3 linked regions of the Drosophila melanogaster genome follow. The protein of the gene in region 2 interacts with the protein of the main gene of each other region in a pairwise test. Each region holds a gene or a part of one and is shown on either strand. Other genes may lie near its edges.

Region 1 (7,325 bases), on a different chromosome or scaffold from region 2:
CGTATACGCCACGTAGCGCCGCCAGTTTTTGGAGCACGTGTCACCAAAGCCGGTCGCTCTCTTTCCACCTTTCACTCTCTCTCTGTCTCTCTCCCTCCAGCTCTCAGGACACAGGCGGCCTGTTGTTTTTGTTTACGCCGCTCAGCTGTGAGGACCTCAAAATCCTTGTTGCCGAAAAAATCCATTTTAATCGCCGCCGTTTGGAGTGATATGCCATCCGAAATCCGGCCAACTTGACCGGAAAGCCATACGGGCGGCCCAAGGTCGCGTGTGCAATTGACATTTTTATTGACATTAAGTGGTGCAGGGACTAGTTTCGGTTTCAGTAGTTCCAGTAATTAAAGCGGATGAAGACGCGCCAAAAAACAACGCCCGGAGTGCTAGGACTCCAAAATGCACTGTGCGAAATTGAAAGCTGATATGGGATATCCTAACTACGATGAAAAATTGGGATGCAAAGGTAAGCAGAAGATAACCTTACTTTTCCATATTAATTTCCAATTAAGCGTCACCATTTTTTTTCGTGTGCACTTTGTGTGTGCTGCATTTGAGTTGCGACTTTGCCGCCCTGCCACATGCATCATGAATCACGCAAATTCGCGGCACGCAAAGACAATGACGCCAGCCCCTTTTCGCACCACTCGCTGGGTGTCGAGGACGCACAACTCCGGCGTTTGTAATCAGGGTCGTCAACGCGAAACTATAGTTATAATACGTAGATAGAACAAAAGGAACGTACCCTCCACTGGCATTTCCAAGGAAACTTTGCTCGTAAAAGCCGGAATAACAGTTAGCATTCATGCCGCCCTTTAAGTTTTGTGGCATTTAGTCAGGTGCCCAAAGACGGGGGAATCGGAATTTGGATACCGGCAGTGGAGTGCCGACAGCCGTTTGACAGTAAAACTCTGGCCTTGGGCGCATCTATTAAAATTTATATGCAACCGAAACTGGAACTGGACGCCAAACGGACAAGATACACACTGTGCGAAAATGTGACAGCCTCCCATAACCCGCAATGTAACTAAATATTCACTTAACTACTATTAAGTGGGATAGAAGGCAAATGAAATGACTAATCCATATGCACAGCGGAAATTATTATATTTTAGTATTTGCAATTTAAGATGTAGTACTAAATACTGAAGCATCGTTCTTAACACTTTTCGAAACTATAATCTTTCTCATGTAGCGAAGATACCTCTTTACCTGTGATGCTGATATCAGCTTGAGTGGAAAGTGAAAACATTTTTTCTCAGTGCCTTTTAGTTGAAGCACTTTCCGCGGACGGCGGTGTTGACAAACTGCTCGCAGAGTTTTTGGCTTTCGCTTGGCTTTGGCGACTTGGCGCCTCGTCCTTGGCATGAAGTTCGCCGCTGGCCTTTAATTAGCTTTTCTCGGATTACTCATACGCCATGGGGGCTGGGCTCGGGTCGAGTGGAGTGGAGTGGAGCTGGGCTCCATTGTTTCAGCACTGGCATGCGGATGTGGTTGGTCAAACGTGCATGTCGGGCACGTGTTTTGCTTTGGCTTGAAATTGGTGGTTGGGTTCGGATCGCATCGGATGGGGTTAAAGTTAAAGCGAGCGTTCTTAATGTCAGGGTCAATGCAGAATACGGGGGTCCTGCATGTGTGGAATCGACGGCCATCTTACTCGTCCCAATATTGGCGGCATGCATATAATACCCACTGACGGTGCATAAATCAAAATATATACAAAAAAAAAAATACAAGCGGGCAAAACAATGTGTGTGTTTTGTTGCTCGAGAGATACAATACAATATTTATTCAAAAGCAATTGGCCGGGCGCTTCTGTCGCCGACAGCTGCACAAAACTCGGGGGACACTTTTGACACACACACGTGGCCAGGGCGACCTTATAGTACATAATGAGTTTGCTGGGTATGCAGAGGAGCAAAGTGGCCTTGCCACTGGCAATTAGAGTTATTTTCACTAGCAATAGGGGACATGTCGGTGCTGCAACGTGCCCGCAAAATGGACAAAAACATGTGCATGAATAATACAGGTGAATGTTATGGACATTTGCCACCATTGGGGCTCGTGAAATGGTCGACTAAATCAAATATATTATAATTTGTGGGTACCAAAGGTATAAGCTTGAGGTACTAGCCAAACAATTTCTAAAAACTAATATTTTGCATTTTTAAATCTTAACTAAAATATAGTGAAATTTGATTATCCTCTTTTCTTATAGACCTCAACTAGGCGACTGTATACTTAGTGATTAAGTAAATACTTAGGTTTTTGGGCAATTCAACTTATTATATAGTTGATGGTTATCGTTAATCGAAATTTCAATACAATGCAATTTCCCGCCAAATAAAAGTGTGACCATTAGTTTATATTAAACGAAATTCCTAACATTCTTTTGCGCGCTTTGGTATTTTGCACCAATGCATTGAGTCCATCAGCTGTTTATTTAATTTCAAAACTGAATCTATAACGAAGTAAATAATTGAAAATGAGCACTTTTAAGCCAAAGTTCCTAAAACCCGAGACGGACGATGCAATCACAGATAGTGCCGGTGGTGAACAGCAGTCCTCCGCCTTTGTATTCAATGTCAATCACAATATGGGACTCATGGAGCAGGTGGGCTTACAAAATATTTCGTAAACATTTGCTAGAATAACAAATTAAACTTAAATTATTACAGAGGGAACGTTTGCCCATTCGTCAGTACCGGGATCAAATACTTTACTGCTTGGAAAAGCATCAAGTGGTCATACTAGTGGGTGAAACAGGCAGGTTTGTATGGAATTCCATGAGCTTCAAAGTAATGCTTCTAACTCTGTGGTTTTTCATATTTCCCAGTGGCAAGAGCACCCAGGTGCCACAGTATTTGTATGAATGGGGCTGGCACACCAAGGGACTCATTGGCATCACCGAACCACGACGCGTTTCCACCGTAAGTAATCCTAAAGCAAAGCAACTATAAAATCTAAAACTAAAGACTTCATTTCCAGGTTACGCTGGCTAATCGCGTGGCACAGGAACGCGGCGAACTGGTAGGTGACACGGTGGGCTATGTAGTTCGCTTCCTGGAAAGCATGAGCTCCTGTACCAAAATCAAGTTCATGACCGAGGGCATCTTGCTGAGGGAAGTCCTAGCCGATCCGCTGCTCACCCAATATGGTGTTATCATCGTGGACGAGGCGCACGAGCGGAATATGCTCACCGACATGATTTTGGGACTGCTCAAGAAGATCCTTCGCAAACGCAGCTCGCTCAAGCTCATCATTTCATCGGCCACCATAGATGCAAGCTTCTTCAGCGAGTTCTTCAGCTGGCCAGGATCGGGCGAAGTGAGCGTTAAGCTAAGCATTGAAGGTCGCATGCATCCTGTGAGTAATTTCTATCTGAACGAACCCTGCGCCGATTATGTGAAGGAAACTGTGGAGACCGTCTGGAAACTGCATCAAAAGGAGCCGCCTGGCGACATTTTGGCCTTCCTAACTGGCCAGGAGGAAGTCCTGGAGGCGCTGGATCTTCTGCGCGAATACATCGCCAGTTCGGAACAGGAGAATCTCAAGGTGCTGCCCATGTATGGTAGTATGTCGAGCACTGATCAGTTGTCGGTATTCTTTACCCCGCCCAAAGGAACCCGCAAAGTGGTGCTGGCCACGAATATAGCAGAGACCTCCATCACCATTCCGGGCATTGTTTATGTGATAGACTGCGGCTACGTCAAGGTAAAATGGTACAATCCCAAAACCTGCAGTGACAGTTTGGTTATAGTGCCCGTCAGCAAGGCGTCGGCCATCCAGAGAGCAGGACGAGCGGGTCGTATGCGTCCCGGCAAGGTCTATCGTTTGTACACTAAATCAGACTATGAAGCACTAGCTCCTCGGCAGCCACCCGAAATGCGACGCAGCGAATTGAGCGGCGCTATCTTGCAGTTAAAGGCGCTGGGCATCGGGAACATATTGCGCTTTGATTTCCCATCGCCACCACCGGCACAGAATCTACTTTCCGCACTGGAGAGTCTATTTGCCTTGGACGCCATCGATGAGCAGGGCAATCTGACGAAGCCCGTGGGTTACCTGTTGGCCGAACTCCCCTTCAGCGCTATGCTCTCCAAAATGCTCTATGTTTCCGGTCAGATGGGCTGCTCCGAGGAGATCATAACCATCATTGCGTTGCTGCAGGTGCAGTCTATATTTTCGCGCCCAGCTTCAGCGGTTGCCCAACAAAGTGGACGCATTGCACATCGAAAATTCGAAGTTGCGGAAGGGGACTTTATTACGATGTTGAACGCTTACACTGGCTTCGTGGAGGAGGGCATGACCAAGGAGTTCTGTGGCCAATACTTCCTCATCTACAGGAATCTTAAGAGGGCCCACTCGCTGAGGGAGCAACTCATCACAGTGGCCAGAAAGAAGTACGGCATTCCAATCTTCTCGTGCAAGGGCGATGTGGAAAAGTTGTGCAAGTGCATCACCGCCGGCTTCTTCACACAGGTGGCCTATCTGCATCACTCTGGAGTTTATAGACAAATCAGCAGCGGCACTGAACTGGCCATTCATCCGAACTCCACTCTCTACACACTTCCTCAAGCTCAGTACGTGGTCTATGGGGAACTGCTCCAAACGACGAAATTGTTCATGAACTACGTGACCGTAATCAAGAGAGAGTGGCTGACGGAGCTGGCGCCGCATTATTACCAACAGACCACAGTGCGGGATTAGCAGGAACTAAAGCCTTAATGATAGGTGTAAGTCTATTAAAATAGTTCATTAAATCAAATAACTAAGTTTATTGTAAAATTATAGGTGAAACGATGCCGCCTCTTGAAAAAGAACTTAAGCTTAGGTAATGGATTCCATATGATGATTCCTATTGTGTGTTTAACCAGCGGCGACGCGCCCTCGTCCCTGAAACATCATCATAGACTCGGGTCCACGGATGACACGCGACATCAGCTCCCAGCACATTTTGGCGGGCAAAAGACTGAGAAAACCAGCATTAATTACATTGTATATAACTATGTTAAATAGACTACTTACCATTTGAGAGGAGTGAGCAGGCGAATAGAGTTGGGCAGCACGCACCACACCTCGTTGCAGCGCACGGCGTTCTCGATGCGATCCGCCACATACTGCGGCTCCAGCATGGGCATCATCCGCGGCCGAACACCCGAAAACATGCCCGTGTTGATGTAGTACGGGCAGATCAAACTCATTTGGATTTGATCATAGCCATGGGCCTTCAGATCGGTGAGCAAACTCTCGTGGAAACCGATGCAGGCGTATTTGGTGGCCGCGTAGTCACTGCATCCGTAGGTGCCCAGCATTCCAGTTACCGAGCCCACAGTAACGATATGACCACGATTATTGCGCATCATGTGAGGCAGAAACGCTTTCACGGTCCAGTAGTGCGATATGATGTTAATGTTGTACGTGTTCTGGATGACCCGATCGTGCAGCTCCCAGAAGGGTTTGCAGCACACGATACCGGCATTGTTAATCAATATGTCGACGGGACCAACCTCCTCGGTCACCTGGCTGGCACGCTGGTAGATCTGCTCCCGATCTGAGATGTCCACAACGTAGCCCTTGCAGTTGTCATAACCATGTTTGGCCAACAAATCCACAGTTGTCTTTATGGCTGTGCGGAAAATTATGATCAAATATTGTTTAGCTAATCAAATTGTAAATGTAACAGCTTTCACTAGCCGTCGGGTTTTTTGACCCGCCTGGCAGAAGCTGTGACGGCGTCATTAGCAACTAGGTGTGATTTTACCTTCTTGATTTATATCCCAGATGACAATGCGGGCCTGAAGGCGAGCAAAGTTTAGGGCAATCAAACGTCCAACACCACCGCCTCCTCCTGTGATGAGCACCACCTGGCCGGAGATGTCCTGTTATGGATAATAATGAACAAGCAATCGTTTATTATAATATTGAATTTCGCATACATACATATGTAAGCAAACCTATTTAGCATACGAAAAAGGTGCGACAGACTGGTAATAGTGCATGTGGAATGACTTTTGCATAATTTAAGCTTAAGTTTGTTACTTTGGCCAACGAATGTCTTGCCACATATGCTTGAATCATAATATAAAACAGATGTTGCAAGACTGTCACCAGCTTTTACAACAAAGTTCAATCAATTTGAGCTGGGTTCAATCCCCTACAGCAGGGCATATCGGTTTCCATCGCTGAAATGCAGCAAAGGAAGCTATTTTCTGCTGTCTGCTAGTCAGATCTCAACTTTTTCTTTTGAATTGCTGGTAATTTATATGTACTTCTCTATGCAATTTATTTTTGTTTTTTTTTTTGGTGTGCGTAGAGCGTGCATTTTGCAACAACAGCAGTGACTAGGGAAAAGGCAATGTTTTGAATGAGGAAAAACTTGTTGTCATACTAAGTTGGTTACTGCTCATGGGACTCATCGGACTGTCAAGTCACGGATATTTTTGGCCACAATCCGAAGATGCGTTTAACTTGGACAAACATAAATAGCCAAAATGTAAATGGCTCAAATTCAATGTCAGCCATGGACTTTGGGTAATTGAAGACAAAGCTCCATTAAGGCAAATATTTAAACAAAATAGTTTAACTTTGCAGAAGCCAATAAATATTTAAAGTAGAAGAGGGTTCATTCATGAATAGCTAGCAAAGCGTGTGAACAAAATTGTTTGCCATCCAAGCGTATCAAAACAAAGAAAGGGGTTTGTTCAAACGCTTTTTACGACAATTTTATAAGGCTTGCAAGCGGAGTAAGTAAATTGGAAAGTTTTCAGACTTCGTACAAAATATTTGAATTAAAATATAAGTTTTTCAAGCTGAGAGTATTGTATATTCGGCTGCTTCGAAAATAGCAAATAGCGATTTGTTTTCATTACCGCCAAACTGCGCGTGGCTCATTAAGATTTGTGAAATGGCCAAAACTGACGGTTTGCAAAATAAAGCAAAAAAAAAAACAAAAGACTTGGCTTTAAGGTAGCTCTACCTATGATTGATTTCGAGTGGCGCACTGGAAGCTGCTTTAAAAAATTATAGGTATATTTTTTGTGGGTGTTCATGGACATGGTGTTGTGTAATCCGCTGGACTCAATCGGGCAAAGAAAGTCTATCAAATTAAAAACTAATATATATGCACATTTCCGTTGTACCTTTAACTTTCGAAAGCGCTGCGGCAACAGACTGTAGTAAATCGATTCGAGTACGTAGTACACCGATTTAATCGTAAACACTAGCAAGTCGAGTAAGAATTGATAGATGGCTCTGAGCGGTTGATCCATGTGCAGAAGACCCGGTGAGGCGGTCATGATGATGACTATTTTGGCTTATATCGCGCCCTT
Region 2 (7,675 bases):
TCTTAGATTATTCTCTTAGCCCTGGTGGCTTTCTGCCACGCAGCACCTCTGGATGTCAAGGAGTCTACCTCTGAGGAGCTCTCTAGGCCCAGTCCCATCAGCCCCGATGTGCTCGTTGATCCCAAGCCCACCGCCAAGGTAGTCTTGCTGAAGGATGCTCCCGTCCTGAATCGCCAGAGGCGTAATGAACCCAAGAAGCCCGACAGCGTGGAGGCCCACGAACAGCTGCATCACTCGCAGCCGGCCGTTCCTATTCATGACCAGAAGCCTTCTCCGGCTGGGCCACAGGACCACAAGCGCAAGAGGGAAGCTCACCACGAGGAGGGTCACCATGGTGACGATGCAGTGCCCCAGAAGGAGGAAGTGAAGCAAGCTCCCGAGGACCATGACGCCAAGAAGGAAAAGAGAGAGGCTCACCATGAGGAGGGTCACCAAGACCATGAGGCTCCTCATAAGGAGGAAGTGAAGCAGGCCCCCGAAGCTCATGATGCCAAAAGGGAAAAGCGAGAGGCTCACCACGAGGAAGGCCACCATGGTGATGATGCAGCTCCACATAAGGAGGAAGTGAAGCAGGCTCCCGAAACACATGAGGACAAGAAGGAAAAGAGGGAAGCTCACCACGAGGAGGGCCACAAGGATGAGGCAGGTGATCGTCCTCAGGTGGAGGATCTTTCGCTGCCCCATGCCCTGCCCGCTGTGGCCCACACCGCCGAGCTGCCCAAGAAGCAGGAAAAGCGCGAGACTGTGGAGAAACCCGACAGCGTGAAGGCCCGTGAGTCGCTCCAGCACAATCCCCAGCGATCCCAGGAGCTCCACAAGGCCATCGAATCTCTGGCCGGTGGAAAGGCGCCGGAACAGCGTCACCAGCGCGATATTCCCGTGCCCACGCAAACCAAAGCCACCACCACCACCGATCTCCCATCCACCACCAAATCGGAGCTGGAAAGCACCACTCCGTCCATCCACAATCTCCACATCCCCCATCCCATTCCCGTGGCCGAGCTCTTCGAGAAGAACAAGCACGCGGATAAGTCCACTTCCAGTTCCGAGGAAAGCAAGGAGAAAGCTAAGGCCTAGGCTTCCTATGTTAAGAGTCGCTAATGGGACCATCACGAGATTTGTAGTCAGCGAAACGAACTAAAATAAACACAAATATTTACATGCTTATATAAAAAGACTGGGCGTTAATTATTTAATAAATATTTATGTGGATGGCTGTCTGTAAAAAGGCAGTTAATATAATAGGCAAAGTAAAAAGTGGTATCTACTGCATTTCAGGCATTAATTATGGGTAAAACTTCCAAGAATTAATTCAATTGTAATATAATTTAATATTACTTCAAGGGAAATATATGAAGCTTTAAATGTACTTCATATTTGTTAATAATACTTCTACACACGTTGGTAATAATAAATTTAAGAACCTTGTACCGATTTTAAACGCCTTCAAGCGCACTAAATTTTATGCGTTAAAGTAGCTTCCTGGTAACAAATTTAATTTGTGTTCTAGACAAAGGCGTACACAGAGAATTGTTATTATAGTAAAGCTGTATTGCAGTTTTTTTTAGAATTTTTCCACGTTATAGGCAGCAATTTAAATGCGAGACTCCACGGATTTCCCCGTATAAATTCGAGCAATTTAACTTCGCGCTTCCCGTAAAAAAAAACATTGAATATTTACGTAAGCACCTCTTCGCTAATTATTCACTAAATATTTATGGCATCCACGTAGCTAACTGCTATTTTATTCACTACTCTAATGTAAGTAATCAGTAATATAAATATAAACAGCCAGACTTAATGTAACAATAAACAACGTATTGTTTGCCTCGGTTTTTTCCATTCTATCTGTAATTTTTCGCTATAATTATAATGACAATTATAACAAGTAGGTGCTTAAATGTAATTACGAAGCTGAATTTAGATGTCTTTGTCTTAATTTGATAGTTATTGCATATTCAAAATGCATTAGAAATGCCTAATTTAAAAACAAAATGCAAATGAAGTTGCTTTTAGAAAGTTAATAAAATTACCTTTATGTTTTTACATCTGCAAAGATCCTCTAACTTCTAGTAACATCTCTATTTTAAGCTTAGTAAAACTAGGTTTCATCTAATTATTCCATATATGTTTAGTCATTTAGCTACGTAGTTCTCCTCCTCCGACTTTCCGAAGTAATCGTCGGATTTGTAGATCTCCACAGGCTGATATTCCTCCTCGACGAGATTGGATCGTGGCAGGGAGCTGAGTGTGCTGGTATCGCTGGCACTTAACTTGGCCTTCAGCGGCTTCAGGAGAAGTCCCTTGAGGCTGTAGTCTGTGACATGCAGCTCCTCCTCGGCTATATCCACAGATCTTTCCACTTCCGACAAATTGGCACTAACTACACCCACACATTGCTCCAGACCATCGATTCTGGCCTTCAGTTGCTCGAAACTGTCTGTGAAACCTAGTATAGAGCAGACGTTGTTGGCCATCATGCCATTGGATTCCGCACGCACCTAAAAGTCAATAAACTATTAGTGAAAACACTAACTTTAAAGAAAACAACTAACCGAAGCCAACAAAGTCTCAAATTCATCCAATCTGGCCAGCATATCCTCGATATTCGTGCACAGTGGATTTATCTCCTTCTCCAGGTCGGCGCTCTGCAGTATCTTTGCATAGTCCCGTGATACATTCTCAATATTCGATTGCATATTTCAGGCGTTGGTTTAATTAGCTGAATATTTGTAAATACAAGCAACAATTGTTTTCACTTTCGACCAGTGTGACCATAATTGAGGAGGGTAAAACTCCTATCAGCTAAAGTGTGACCCCAAAGCATTTGCCCGCTGTCCCGCTGCTGCTCATTCTGGTCATACTGTTTTCTATTGATTTTGGAAATTGTTAGCTTGCAGCATTTGCTTGGATTTGTAGCACAATGAGTGGATATCGAGGCATTGGCGGTGGGGGCTTCCCCTACCGCAAGCCAGCAAGTTCCGGCAACAACATGAACGCCGTACCGCCGCCCCCGATGCTGAATGCCCGTGGCTATTCTGGTTCCCGCGGAGGATTTGGAGGAGCAAGCCGTGGCGGTGTCACCGGGAGCACTACATCAACGTCCAAGCACGGCTACTCCACCTTGGACTCCATCAGCCAGTACACCAATGCCACCAATCTGGTTGGCAAAAGGAAGCACCACACGGACGATGACTATTTCGATGATGACGATGAGCCCCGGGAAAAGGAGATAGAACAAGCCTATATACCGGCACCAGGATCCCCGGGAGCTCCGCCAACGTCGGCCAAAAAGCAAGAGGATTCCGATTCGGATGAGGATCCCCTCGAGCAGTTCATGGCGGGCATCAACCAGCAGGTGGAGAAGGAGAAGCGTCAACAAGCACCTAAGCCGCCAACTCAGGCGGTGAGAGGTGACATCGATGACGAGGACGATGAGGAGAGCTACTATCGCTACATGAAGGAGAATCCCAATGCTGGACTTCGCGACGAGGGATCCGATCAGGAAATCGAATACGATGAGGATGGCAATCCCATAGCCCCACCGAAGAAAAAGGACATTGATCCTCTGCCGCCCATCTACCATTCCGAAATCGAGTACGAACCCTTCGAGAAGAACTTCTACACGCAGCATGACGACATAGCCGCCCTGGATGATGAGCAAGTCCGGGAATTAAGGCGCACACTTGGCGTAAAGGTCACTGGTCCATCACCACCCAAACCAGTCACGTCCTTCGGCCATTTCGGCTTTGATGAGCAACTCATCAAGGCCGTGAGGAAAGCGGAGTATACACAGCCCACACCCATCCAGGCACAAGCAGTGCCCACCGCCCTGTCCGGCAGAGACATCATTGGCATAGCCAAAACTGGTTCCGGTAAGACAGCAGCTTTCATCTGGCCGATGCTAATGCATGTGATGGATCAGAAACAGCTGAAGCCAGGCGACGGACCCATAGGACTTATCCTAGCACCTACACGCGAGCTTTCCCTGCAGATCTACAACGAGGCCAAGAAGTTTGGCAAGGTCTACAACCTGAACGTGGTCTGCTGCTACGGCGGAGGCTCCAAATGGGAGCAAAGTAAAGCTCTGGAACAGGGAGCGGAAATTATTGTGGCCACGCCAGGACGTATGATAGATATGGTCAAGATGAAGGCCACCAATCTGAGGAGGGTCACTTTCCTAGTGCTTGACGAGGCCGACCGTATGTTCCACATGGGCTTTGAGCCCCAGGTTCGCTCCATCTGCAACCACGTGCGTCCAGATCGTCAATGCCTAATGTTTTCGGCCACCTTTAAGAAGCGAATTGAACGTCTGGCCAGAGATGTGCTTTCCGATCCCGTGAGAATAGTGCAGGGAGACCTGAACGAGGCCAATCAGGACATTACACAGTCTGTGTACGTCTTCCCCAATCCCCTGCAGAAATGGAATTGGCTGCTGTGCCATCTGGTGAAGTTCCTTTCCGAAGGAAGTGTCCTGATCTTTGTGACTAAAAAAGTAGATGCTGAAACGGTGTCTAACAATCTTTTAATTAAGGAGTACAATTGTCTTTTACTCCACGGCGATATGGACCAAGCGGACAGAAACAAGGTCATCACTCAGTTTAAGAGAAAAGAGTGCGATATTCTAGTGGCCACCGACGTGGCAGCCAGAGGATTGGATATACCCCATATTAGGAATGTGGTAAACTACGACACAGCCAGGGACATTGAAACCCACACGCACAGAATTGGAAGAACGGGCAGAGCCGGTGAAAAGGGTAATGCATACACTCTAGTCACCGATAAGGACAAGGAGTTCGCCGGACATCTGGTGCGTAACTTGGAGGGAGCCGATCAGCTGGTGCCCGACGATCTGATGGAGCTGGCCATGAAGAGTTCCTGGTTCCGCAGCTCACGCTTCAAGCAGGGCAAAGGCAAGAGACCAACAAATACCCACACAGGATTGGGCTATCGGGAGAAAGGAAATGGAGGTGGTGGCTATGGTTCGGCTGGTGGCTCGGAGTCCACTGCGAGTGTGTCTGCCCACAGTCCTTCCGACGGACCCTCTAGCAAAGCCTTTTCGAGCTCGGGACCAGCCACAGATCGCTATACAGCAATGAGGGAGGCATTCCGATCCCAGTATAACAATCAGTTCCGTGCGTCCAGCGATCGCACTTGGGAGAAAACTCTGCCGGAGTCGGGAGTTTTCGCTGCGCCAATGGCACCGCCCTCATCATCAACACAGGGTGCTTCCGCCTCATCGGCCAACAACAGCAGCAACCAGGATGCCAAAAGAGCCAAGAAGAGTCGCTGGAATTGAACGACGAGCCCAATAAACTGATGCTGCTATTTGGTTTATTTCTCTTCATATTATTTAATGTGTATTTGCTTTTGTTCCATCGTTTAAAATTACAACTTATGAACTAAATTTAAACATATTATATATAATCAGATATATACCATGTTCATTCATAAAGATTACGTTAGTTAAATACTCGTATGTACAACTCTCTTCCTTCGCAGCCAGTTCCAGCGAACGATCCCACAGATCCAAATAAAAATATTCATTAATTGTAATCATGGTTATGTGTATTTTATTTTGAATAAAATCACATTTGCGCATCCCAACTGCCTATCGATATTGTTAATCGTTAATCGTGTCATTTTAATTTTAATTTTTCCATTTCATTAAGCGAGAGAAGAAATCGAACTGGAATATCGAAATCTTGAAGCTAAATTGTTCGTTTAATCATTATGAAATATTGTTTTACAATGAAACCACTACGAATTTTGTTTCTTTTTCGCTTTTGGATATACGTGTTTATATTATAATTAAATTACGTGTGTTTTTGATAACATTGAGAAGAGATTTGAGATTCATTTAACTACCACATCGAGGCGATTTCGCGTAAATTTTCGACTTTTTCGATTTATTCGATTTTTTTTTCGATTTGTTTCGTTTTGTTAAGCGCTGAACGGGGAATAAGCCGGGGCAAAGCTTAAAAATTTCGCTATATTTGAATATCATATCAGATACGTACATGAATATATATATATATTCCGTTATATATAGTTCGCGTATATACTCTATTCAAAGACTCGTCGGTGTGTGGGTGTTATACATATATATATGTATATATATATATATTTGTATATAAAAATTGGTCCATGTTAACCACATCGTACGAAACAAATCGGAAAATCAGGAGAAAATCCAAAAAGAAAACGGGGGAAAATTGTGTGGGAAAATAAGACGCAAACGAAAATTATAACACTTTAATTTTAGTTTTGAAATACTTTTTGTTTTCTTCATTTATTATTATCATTATTTAAATGTATTAATTAGCTTTTGTGTGTTTTTTTTTGGGGGGAGGGGTTCTGTTTTTTGTTGTTGCCGCATATATAACATACATATCCAATATATACAATATATTTTAGATCTAGCATTAAATTTGATTTACACTTTTAATAGTTTGTTTCTCTCTTCCACTAATTATGCAGTTTCGCTTTGTCACTTAATTGTACACATTTACTTTCTGTTCGTTATAGTTAATATTATCTTAATATTTCCTCAGCTGGTCTGTTAAATTTCGTTTATCGTTTACCAAGCTAAATCATTTACTTTTAATATGTAGATAGGCTTTAAAAAATAATTAAAATTATGCAACAATTAAAATGTAAATGTTTTCATTTTATAAATGTAATAAAATTGTTGGGATTTCACTTGTATGTATTTTGTGTTTCTCGATTTTCGTTTTTGTTTTGTTTTTCTTTGCTCATGTTTTGTTGTTGCGCTGATTTAATAGATTGTTTTTTTTTTTTTTAATACTTTGTAAATGAACAAGAAACATTTTGCAACAAAAGTCTGGGATAAGGCAAAACAAAAAATGTAATTTTCAAATAAACGAACAAAGGACTTTCTGCTGCATTTTAAATTCGTAAATTTCATTGAAGGAATTTTCATGCTCTCAACTGAATTGGTTTCTTTTTTTTTTAATTTTTTATATGGTATAATGACTGTTTGTTAATTTTTACGCTTTAGTGTGCATTTTTTTTGTAGTTTTCATGGGTTTTTCTCAGTTAGCTTTAAATTAAATGCCAATTAATTTAATTAATTAATTTTTAAATCACATTTCATTGTTTTTCAACACGGGCAAATTCAAATTTCCGCTTCGATTTCTCATCCAGTGTGTTGTTTGTAATAGTTTATCCATTTTGTTTTTTGTTTTTGTTTTTTTTTTTTGTGTATTTTTACTTGTTGCTGCTGTTGGTTTGTGTGAGGAAACGAAAATGTTGGTTGAAGTACGCGACTGGCGTCTAGTGCACATTTCATTAAAATTAATAATACTATATACAATTTATGGTATTCTGCCACTTCAATTCTCCAACTCTCTCCCAGCTTCGCCCCTGCCTTTTTTTGGCCTAGTCGAATAACGTGGCCAGCAAGTCGTCGCTGGCGTTGTTGTTGCTGCTGCCACTCGAGGGCGGCGTGTTAAGATCGGGCTGAGGATCCAGATAGGACAGAATCTCCATGGGATCCACATCTTGCAGCAGCTATAAATGATTTCGAAAATGCGTAAATTAATATTTTTCCCATTGTTCAGAGGTGTAAGCTTTATACTCACATTCAGATCGTGGGCTGTATCGTTTATGGCCGCTGCCGCCGCATCGAAGCTCTGCAGCTCGGCACTCAGAT
Region 3 (6,631 bases), on a different chromosome or scaffold from region 2:
ATCCTCTTAATAACCGTTTTATACAGACTTCAATCGGGAGATACATCAGTTTTCTTCGCAAAAAATGAAAGACACTTAGAGTAGCAAATGTGAGCGCCTTCAGCTATAAAGAAAGTTGTATTATTGCGAAATTCAACGATTATATATTAAACTTACAGCAGCAAAAACTATATAGTAGACAAGGGTAGTGGGTAACAAAAACAGAATAGCCGAGAAAAATATGGTAGCTAGATATAATTGCCGATTCATATAGTTGTGGGACTCAGTGCGACCTGAAAAGTATAAGAATTGGTAAAACTTAACATAGTGCTTAGATTGGCAAAAACCTTAAAACATACCTTTTAAAATGTTGTAACGATTGCCTCGAACCACTTGCCATAGAACAGAAAGACCTCTTCTTTCCACATTGTAGAGGCTATGAAAATAATATTATTGTTTGAAAGCGGTCAATATATATTGCAGAAACTTACACTTTGGTATAAATATAGAAGCAATGTGAATGTAAGCCAATAACGGATATTAAGTCCACTAGTAAGGCTATCTGGAATGTAAAACCCAAGCATCCAATCATTCCAATGGCCAAGAAAACTTGTCGTACTAAAGGTTCAATGAAATCTGTAGTAAGAGAACAATGTTATCAATCTTATCATGCATTTAAGTAGACCCAAAAGCTTACCCAAAAATGTTGACCACAGCTCAATATGATATTTGAAGCAGTCGAGAAAGAAATTATTTAAATGTATATTTAGCTTGAGGCCAATGGGACTGCCCTCTAATACTTTCAACAGGCCGTACAATTCGTCAATAACGTACTACAATAGATAAGCAATAAGTTAATGTCACATATGTAAAATCAAATTTGTATGGCGGACATACATGAGATATTTGTATTAGAAAATCACCAGGCTGTGTGGCAAGCGTAAATAGTATTAGCATCAATATAATCCCCAGTATTCTATCAAGAACTATATTAGCCGGTCGAGATCTGCTTGATAGAAACTAAGTAATAGTAATATGATATTTAGCATCATCGATTTAACCCAACTACCTTTTATCACATGCTGTCTGCCATTCCTTGAAATGCTTATAAATAGTTGTGTGAACCATAATGCTGTTGATAAATACATTTTCCGCCATATATTCGAATATCTTAATTGGAGAATCGGCAATGAGTGTTAAGCCATATTGGATACTCTTGTTGGCATTATTGTTTGCCTTGTTTTGGTTGTCAGCAGTTGGTTGATTCAGTCTAGAGAGCTCCAGAAAGTCGCAATCGGTGCTATCATTATCATTGTATTCCAAAGATCGCCTATTTTCAGATTCACCAGATACGAACAGATTTCGTACCATTTGCTTGTCGTAGAGAATCACTTTAATGTGCTTCAGATATTCGGGCGTAATGCCCAAATAAACCAGTGTTATATTCGCCTGACTGCTATTGTATGTGAAACACAATCGCATATTGAACTTAAGAAATTGGTTCTGGTCCGCATTGAAATCCTCGTTGAGAATAGAGCCCAGGAAACGCAGATTGCCCTTTTCATGATTTATGGCCTTGTCACTGAACTCCAAATCTGATGCTTCCAGCACGTAATACGATACGACATTATCTTCATTTATTTGCACTTGGCCGTACAAATTGGTTGACTTATTGAGGTAATAATAGTTGACCGGTAAATATATCTTAATGCTCATAATATAATCGATTAACTGACAAAAACACCGGTATTTCTTCTCTCAATCAAAACAAAACAAATACAGCATGCTTGAGAAGGTGGTATACAATTGAGTGTGACGTCACCGTTTGTTGATTAACAAACTAGGGAGTACAGAATAGTTGCAGAATCGTATATGTCAGATGTCGCTTAAGCGTGTATTTTTATGTATGTATGTATATTATTATTATTATATTATTATGTATGATTATGTATAATAATTTATATAAATATTTTGCAGTAATGGACACCCTACAAGTGAAATTTATGTCGATAAATCGTTCAACGACACTTCGAAACTGCCAGTGTCGCACTGTTAGCCCTCGGCTATCGGTGGTCCATTCCATTGTTTCTCAGTTTTCACGTGTTCTTTTTTAAGTCGTTTCTTTTATATTTGCGTTAATATACGCAATAGAGGGACACATTTTTCTTCGGCATTTTAAAGAGTTAAAATTGTTTTCGTGTTAAGAAATATTAATTTTATTTAGCAACAAGAATGGGATATGATGGTGAGTTCAATGAAGAGAGCAAGTAAAGGGCCGCACTGAATTTGATGCCCAAGTGTGCATAAATAGATGTTTATGTATATATATGTATGCATACATACATACAACTATAAATGTATGCAAAGAAAGTGAAAAATGTGCAACTGAATTTGTTTATCGCGGCAACGCAGCCTGCTCCTTGTTTCATTTTTTTTTATATGTAAAAAAGGTCTGTTGAATTAGGGTTTTGTTAATAATCGCATTCATTCTAGACCGGTTGTTTTTTTTTCTATTTCGATGTTTCGCTCATTCATACATTCATACATACGTACATACGTTGAGTTTTGAGTCTATTTTTAATAGAATACAGTGCATTTCGGGATGGAAATGAATTTTGAAGATAAATATGTGAATATCGACAATAAAGGCGAGTTCTTATGACCATAAATGCTTCTAACCATACACCATACACCGAAATGTGTCCTTGTTCATGGCTTACATATGCGCGTGTGCCCGTGTGTATGGCTAAATTTGTGTGCTCTTCCTGGGTGAGGTGGACAGGGACGGGACACATTTGCGAAAATAGCGATTGGAGAATCAACATATTTAATTCCTATCGTATTTGCAGACCGTGAACGCGATCGCGAGAGACGCCGACATCGTTCCCGCTCTCGGGACCGCCATCGCGAACGCTCCAGGGATCGACGCCATCACCGGAACTCGAGGCGCAAGCCGTCGCTTTATTGGGATGTACCGCCGCCGGGATTCGAGCACATCACCCCGATGCAATACAAAGCCATGCAGGCGTCCGGACAAATCCCGGCAAGCGTTGTGCCGGATACACCACAAACGGCAGTGCCCGTGGTCGGATCGACAATTACCCGACAGGCGCGTCGCCTGTACGTTGGCAACATTCCGTTTGGCGTCACCGAGGAGGAAATGATGGAGTTCTTCAACCAACAGATGCATTTAGTTGGGCTCGCCCAGGCGGCCGGCAGTCCCGTCTTGGCATGCCAAATTAACTTGGACAAAAACTTTGCTTTCCTCGAATTCCGATCGATTGATGAAACCACCCAGGCCATGGCATTCGATGGCATCAATTTGAAGGGGCAGAGCTTAAAGATTAGGCGTCCGCACGATTACCAGCCCATGCCGGGTATAACAGATACGCCGGCAATTAAGCCCGCTGTTGGTAAGTAAACAAATATCCTAATTTTCATTGGCACACGGTCTAATCAAATAACCACCATTCCACATTCCAGTTTCCAGTGGAGTTATTTCGACAGTGGTTCCGGACTCGCCTCACAAAATCTTCATCGGAGGTCTACCAAACTATCTGAATGACGATCAGGTTGGTTCAACATTGAAACGTTTCCATTCGAATTCTCATAAACATTTGTATCTTCTGCTGCTGTAGGTTAAGGAACTGCTTTTGTCGTTTGGCAAGCTACGAGCCTTCAACCTGGTTAAGGATGCCGCTACTGGGTTGAGTAAGGGTTATGCTTTCTGTGAATATGTCGATCTTAGCATCACAGATCAGGTACGAAACTACTTCAAAATTGCAAACAAACACAATCTTAACTCTAACTCTCTTTCGATTCCTAATAAAATTTGTAGTCGATTGCTGGCCTAAATGGAATGCAGCTGGGTGACAAAAAACTGATTGTCCAACGAGCCAGTGTGGGCGCCAAGAATGCCCAGAACGCGGCCAACACCACGCAGTCCGTAATGCTCCAAGTGCCGGGCCTGTCCAATGTGGTGACCTCTGGACCGCCGACTGAGGTTCTTTGCTTGCTCAACATGGTCACGCCCGATGAACTGCGGGACGAGGAGGAGTACGAGGACATCTTGGAGGACATCAAGGAGGAGTGCACGAAATACGGAGTCGTGCGGAGCGTGGAAATTCCACGTCCCATCGAGGGCGTCGAAGTTCCCGGTTGCGGCAAGGTCTTTGTCGAATTCAACTCGGTTCTCGACTGTCAGAAGGCGCAGCAAGCACTTACTGGACGTAAATTCAGCGACCGCGTTGTGGTCACATCATATTTCGATCCCGACAAATACCACAGACGCGAGTTTTAGATACAAGTAAATCATATATCTCACATTCACCATTTGTCCAATAAATATCAGAATAAAAGTAAAATTTTGACTACGAAAATACGAAGATACCATGAAATAGAAAGGGATAGTCGCTTATTTCATTGTGAGCCGGAAGTTGGAAACGAAAACTCCAAATGCTTCTAATGGGTTGAAACTGTACGTGAGTTTAAGGGTATATAACATAACTACTTCATTCGGTGGCTTCCTCAATTCTCAGAAATCCAACATATAGAAACAACTTTGTATATATATAGACAGCTAACGCCGGATAAACATTTATTTGGCATTAAATAATTATGAATGTATACGTATGGTGTGTGTTTACTGAATTATAAGGCAATTACAAAAACAGTTGAAAATATCTATTAGACGTACAGATACAAATCACTTAAAAACGGAACGTACAAATGAAATACATTTTGGGTACATATACACATACATATATACTAAGCATGATTTGCTAATGCGCTCAAACGCGCAAAATGTCCAAATTAGAACTATTGTGCGAATGGAAACAGCAGAATGTTTGTTAAATAATTAAATGCGAGTGCAAGACAAATGATATCGATCGTTTCAGTGGGGCATTCGTATGGAATGCAAATAGTTTCAGATTAAAATCCTAAATGATTCGCATAGGGAGCACAATTTCCACTTCTTAAATCGACTAGTGCATTTTATGAATATCTAGATATATAAATTATATAATGCATTTAGTAATAATACGTCTATTGAACTTAGGCTTTAGATATTTAGATTTCGCAGTTTAGAGAAGAAGCTAAGTTAGAACTTTGATTTTATAAAAAATAGATATCTTTGAGCTATATTATTATTTTTCAAATATTTGTTATTTTAGCAACAGGTGTACTTCAATAGTTAACGTTCAAACATTTAAAATTTCGATCATTTCGAATTTTAAGGCACGTTCATTTAAATGTAATTGAATAATTACATTTTATTTTAATATTGTTTGCAAACTTTTAGTTTTTGTAACATTAGCTACAACAATCGTGGTTAAATAACATAGACACAATTATGTGGTATATCGTAATTGTTAAACAACTGGAAGACATATGTAATCAAAGTGGTTTAAATTTCCTTTGCCCTTTTTTTTTTATAAATTGTATTATTACTTTAAGCTTTAAAAGAGAAAATAAAAAAGGTAAATGCTAAATGATTGAAATGCTGTTTGAGTATTTGTGCTAAGAGAAAGGTCTAAAATAGTTTTCCAGATAACATATGAAAGTGGTCTATTTTCTTCAGTTAAAAGTCTTTAAGAAGATTGTAATATAATACTTATGAAAAGCTGATCCTGAAACTGAATATCAAATGCCCATTAAATTGATGCCAATTGAGCTGTTTATGAATTGTTTCTATTTCTAATTTTGGAATCAACTTAATGTACTTAACTTTTGATGGTAAAACTGGTAAAATGGAAATAGCTCAAGTTCCCTAAATCGAAATCAAATCAAATCTGGTTTGCTTATGCTTATAATGAGGTGACGAATAGTTAAAACATATTCGTATCATTCTATTCTCCTGAATCAATCTCACGCACAAATACAACATTTAGAGGACAACAGACTTGAATGCTTAGTGTTATGGAAAAGTGTACAAATTATACGGATTACATAAACTTGATTTCAGTTCCAGGAGTTCAGAATTCATTGTTACCATTTGAATACTCATTGTATAGTATGAACTAACCATAACTGCTGATGTGTATAGAAAGTAATCTAAATCTAAATCATACGTTTCAGATCCTAAGCTTTTTAGACAAATTACAAGTGAGAGAATCAGGTTCATAGTTCGATGAAATGTTCTTATGTACAAGTTGTTGATAAATTGCTTTTGCGAATTAAGTTCGCTTTCCTTTTGATCTAGCGCAATTGTTTTCGCAAACACTCGATTTGGAATCATTGATATTGATCCAGCTAACTCAGCAATCCTCTTACGGTGCGGTAACATTTGCTATCTTAATGTTGATCAGCAGGGACGATAATTCCAGCTCCTCGCTGAACTTATTTCGTAGGATGACGCTGCGATAGCCCTGGCGAATGCAGGTCAGCGGATAGCACGCCTGGGCGATGAAGTGCGTCTCGGCGAACATATCCTCGTCCTGCACTTCGAAGCGAAGGATCGCAAACTGTGGATTACGCACGTTAAACTCGCACGATTCATTCCACACCGGATTGAAACCATTTTCATTGACTTTGGTGCGATACTTAACGCCCGTATCAAAGCTAGCGCCAATCAATTCGACCACGATCTGCGGATTGTTCGATTTGCCGCCCCGGAATAGATGACGTGCGGCTATCAGACGTATGCTAACTT

Evidence for each region.
Region 1: the proteins of CG6418 (region 2) and CG3225 interact in a two-hybrid assay, tested with the Drosophila melanogaster proteins (one large-scale study listed by BioGRID).
Region 3: the proteins of CG6418 (region 2) and U2af50 interact in a two-hybrid assay, tested with the Drosophila melanogaster proteins (one large-scale study listed by BioGRID).

What each region holds. Positions count from the first base shown.
Region 1 is NT_033779.5:4,813,321-4,820,645, reverse strand, and holds CG3225 (uncharacterized protein), read left to right. Parts: upstream 1-2,400; 5' UTR 2,401-2,479; coding exon 2,480-2,608; intron 2,609-2,672; coding exon 2,673-2,764; exon of another isoform or gene 2,765-2,830; coding exon 2,831-2,924; intron 2,925-2,982; coding exon 2,983-4,704; 3' UTR 4,705-4,730; intron 4,731-4,754; exon of another isoform or gene 4,755-4,788; 3' UTR 4,789-4,863; coding exon of another isoform or gene 4,864-4,966; 3' UTR 4,967-5,022; downstream 5,023-7,325. Other genes in the region: CG15629 (uncharacterized protein), read right to left, coding at 4,864-4,966, 5,023-5,623, 5,759-5,876, 7,137-7,292.
Region 2 is NT_037436.4:10,874,194-10,881,868, reverse strand, and holds CG6418 (uncharacterized protein), read left to right. Parts: upstream 1-2,831; 5' UTR 2,832-2,923; coding exon 2,924-5,299; 3' UTR 5,300-5,554; downstream 5,555-7,675. Other genes in the region: CG6409 (uncharacterized protein), read left to right, coding at 7-1,077; Blos4 (biogenesis of lysosome-related organelles complex 1, subunit 4), read right to left, coding at 2,136-2,501, 2,556-2,699; tna (tonalli), read right to left, coding at 7,402-7,533, 7,605-7,675.
Region 3 is NC_004354.4:16,354,404-16,361,034, reverse strand, and holds U2af50 (U2 small nuclear riboprotein auxiliary factor 50), read left to right. Parts: upstream 1-2,581; coding exon 2,582-2,627; intron 2,628-2,828; coding exon 2,829-3,392; intron 3,393-3,462; coding exon 3,463-3,551; intron 3,552-3,617; coding exon 3,618-3,740; intron 3,741-3,817; coding exon 3,818-4,279; 3' UTR 4,280-4,339; downstream 4,340-6,631. Other genes in the region: PIG-Q (phosphatidylinositol glycan anchor biosynthesis class Q), read right to left, coding at 1-103, 157-272, 339-415, 471-615, 677-812, 877-985, 1,049-1,695; sl (small wing), read right to left, coding at 6,249-6,631. UniProt on the Drosophila melanogaster protein: Necessary for the splicing of pre-mRNA. Binds to the polypyrimidine tract of introns early during spliceosome assembly.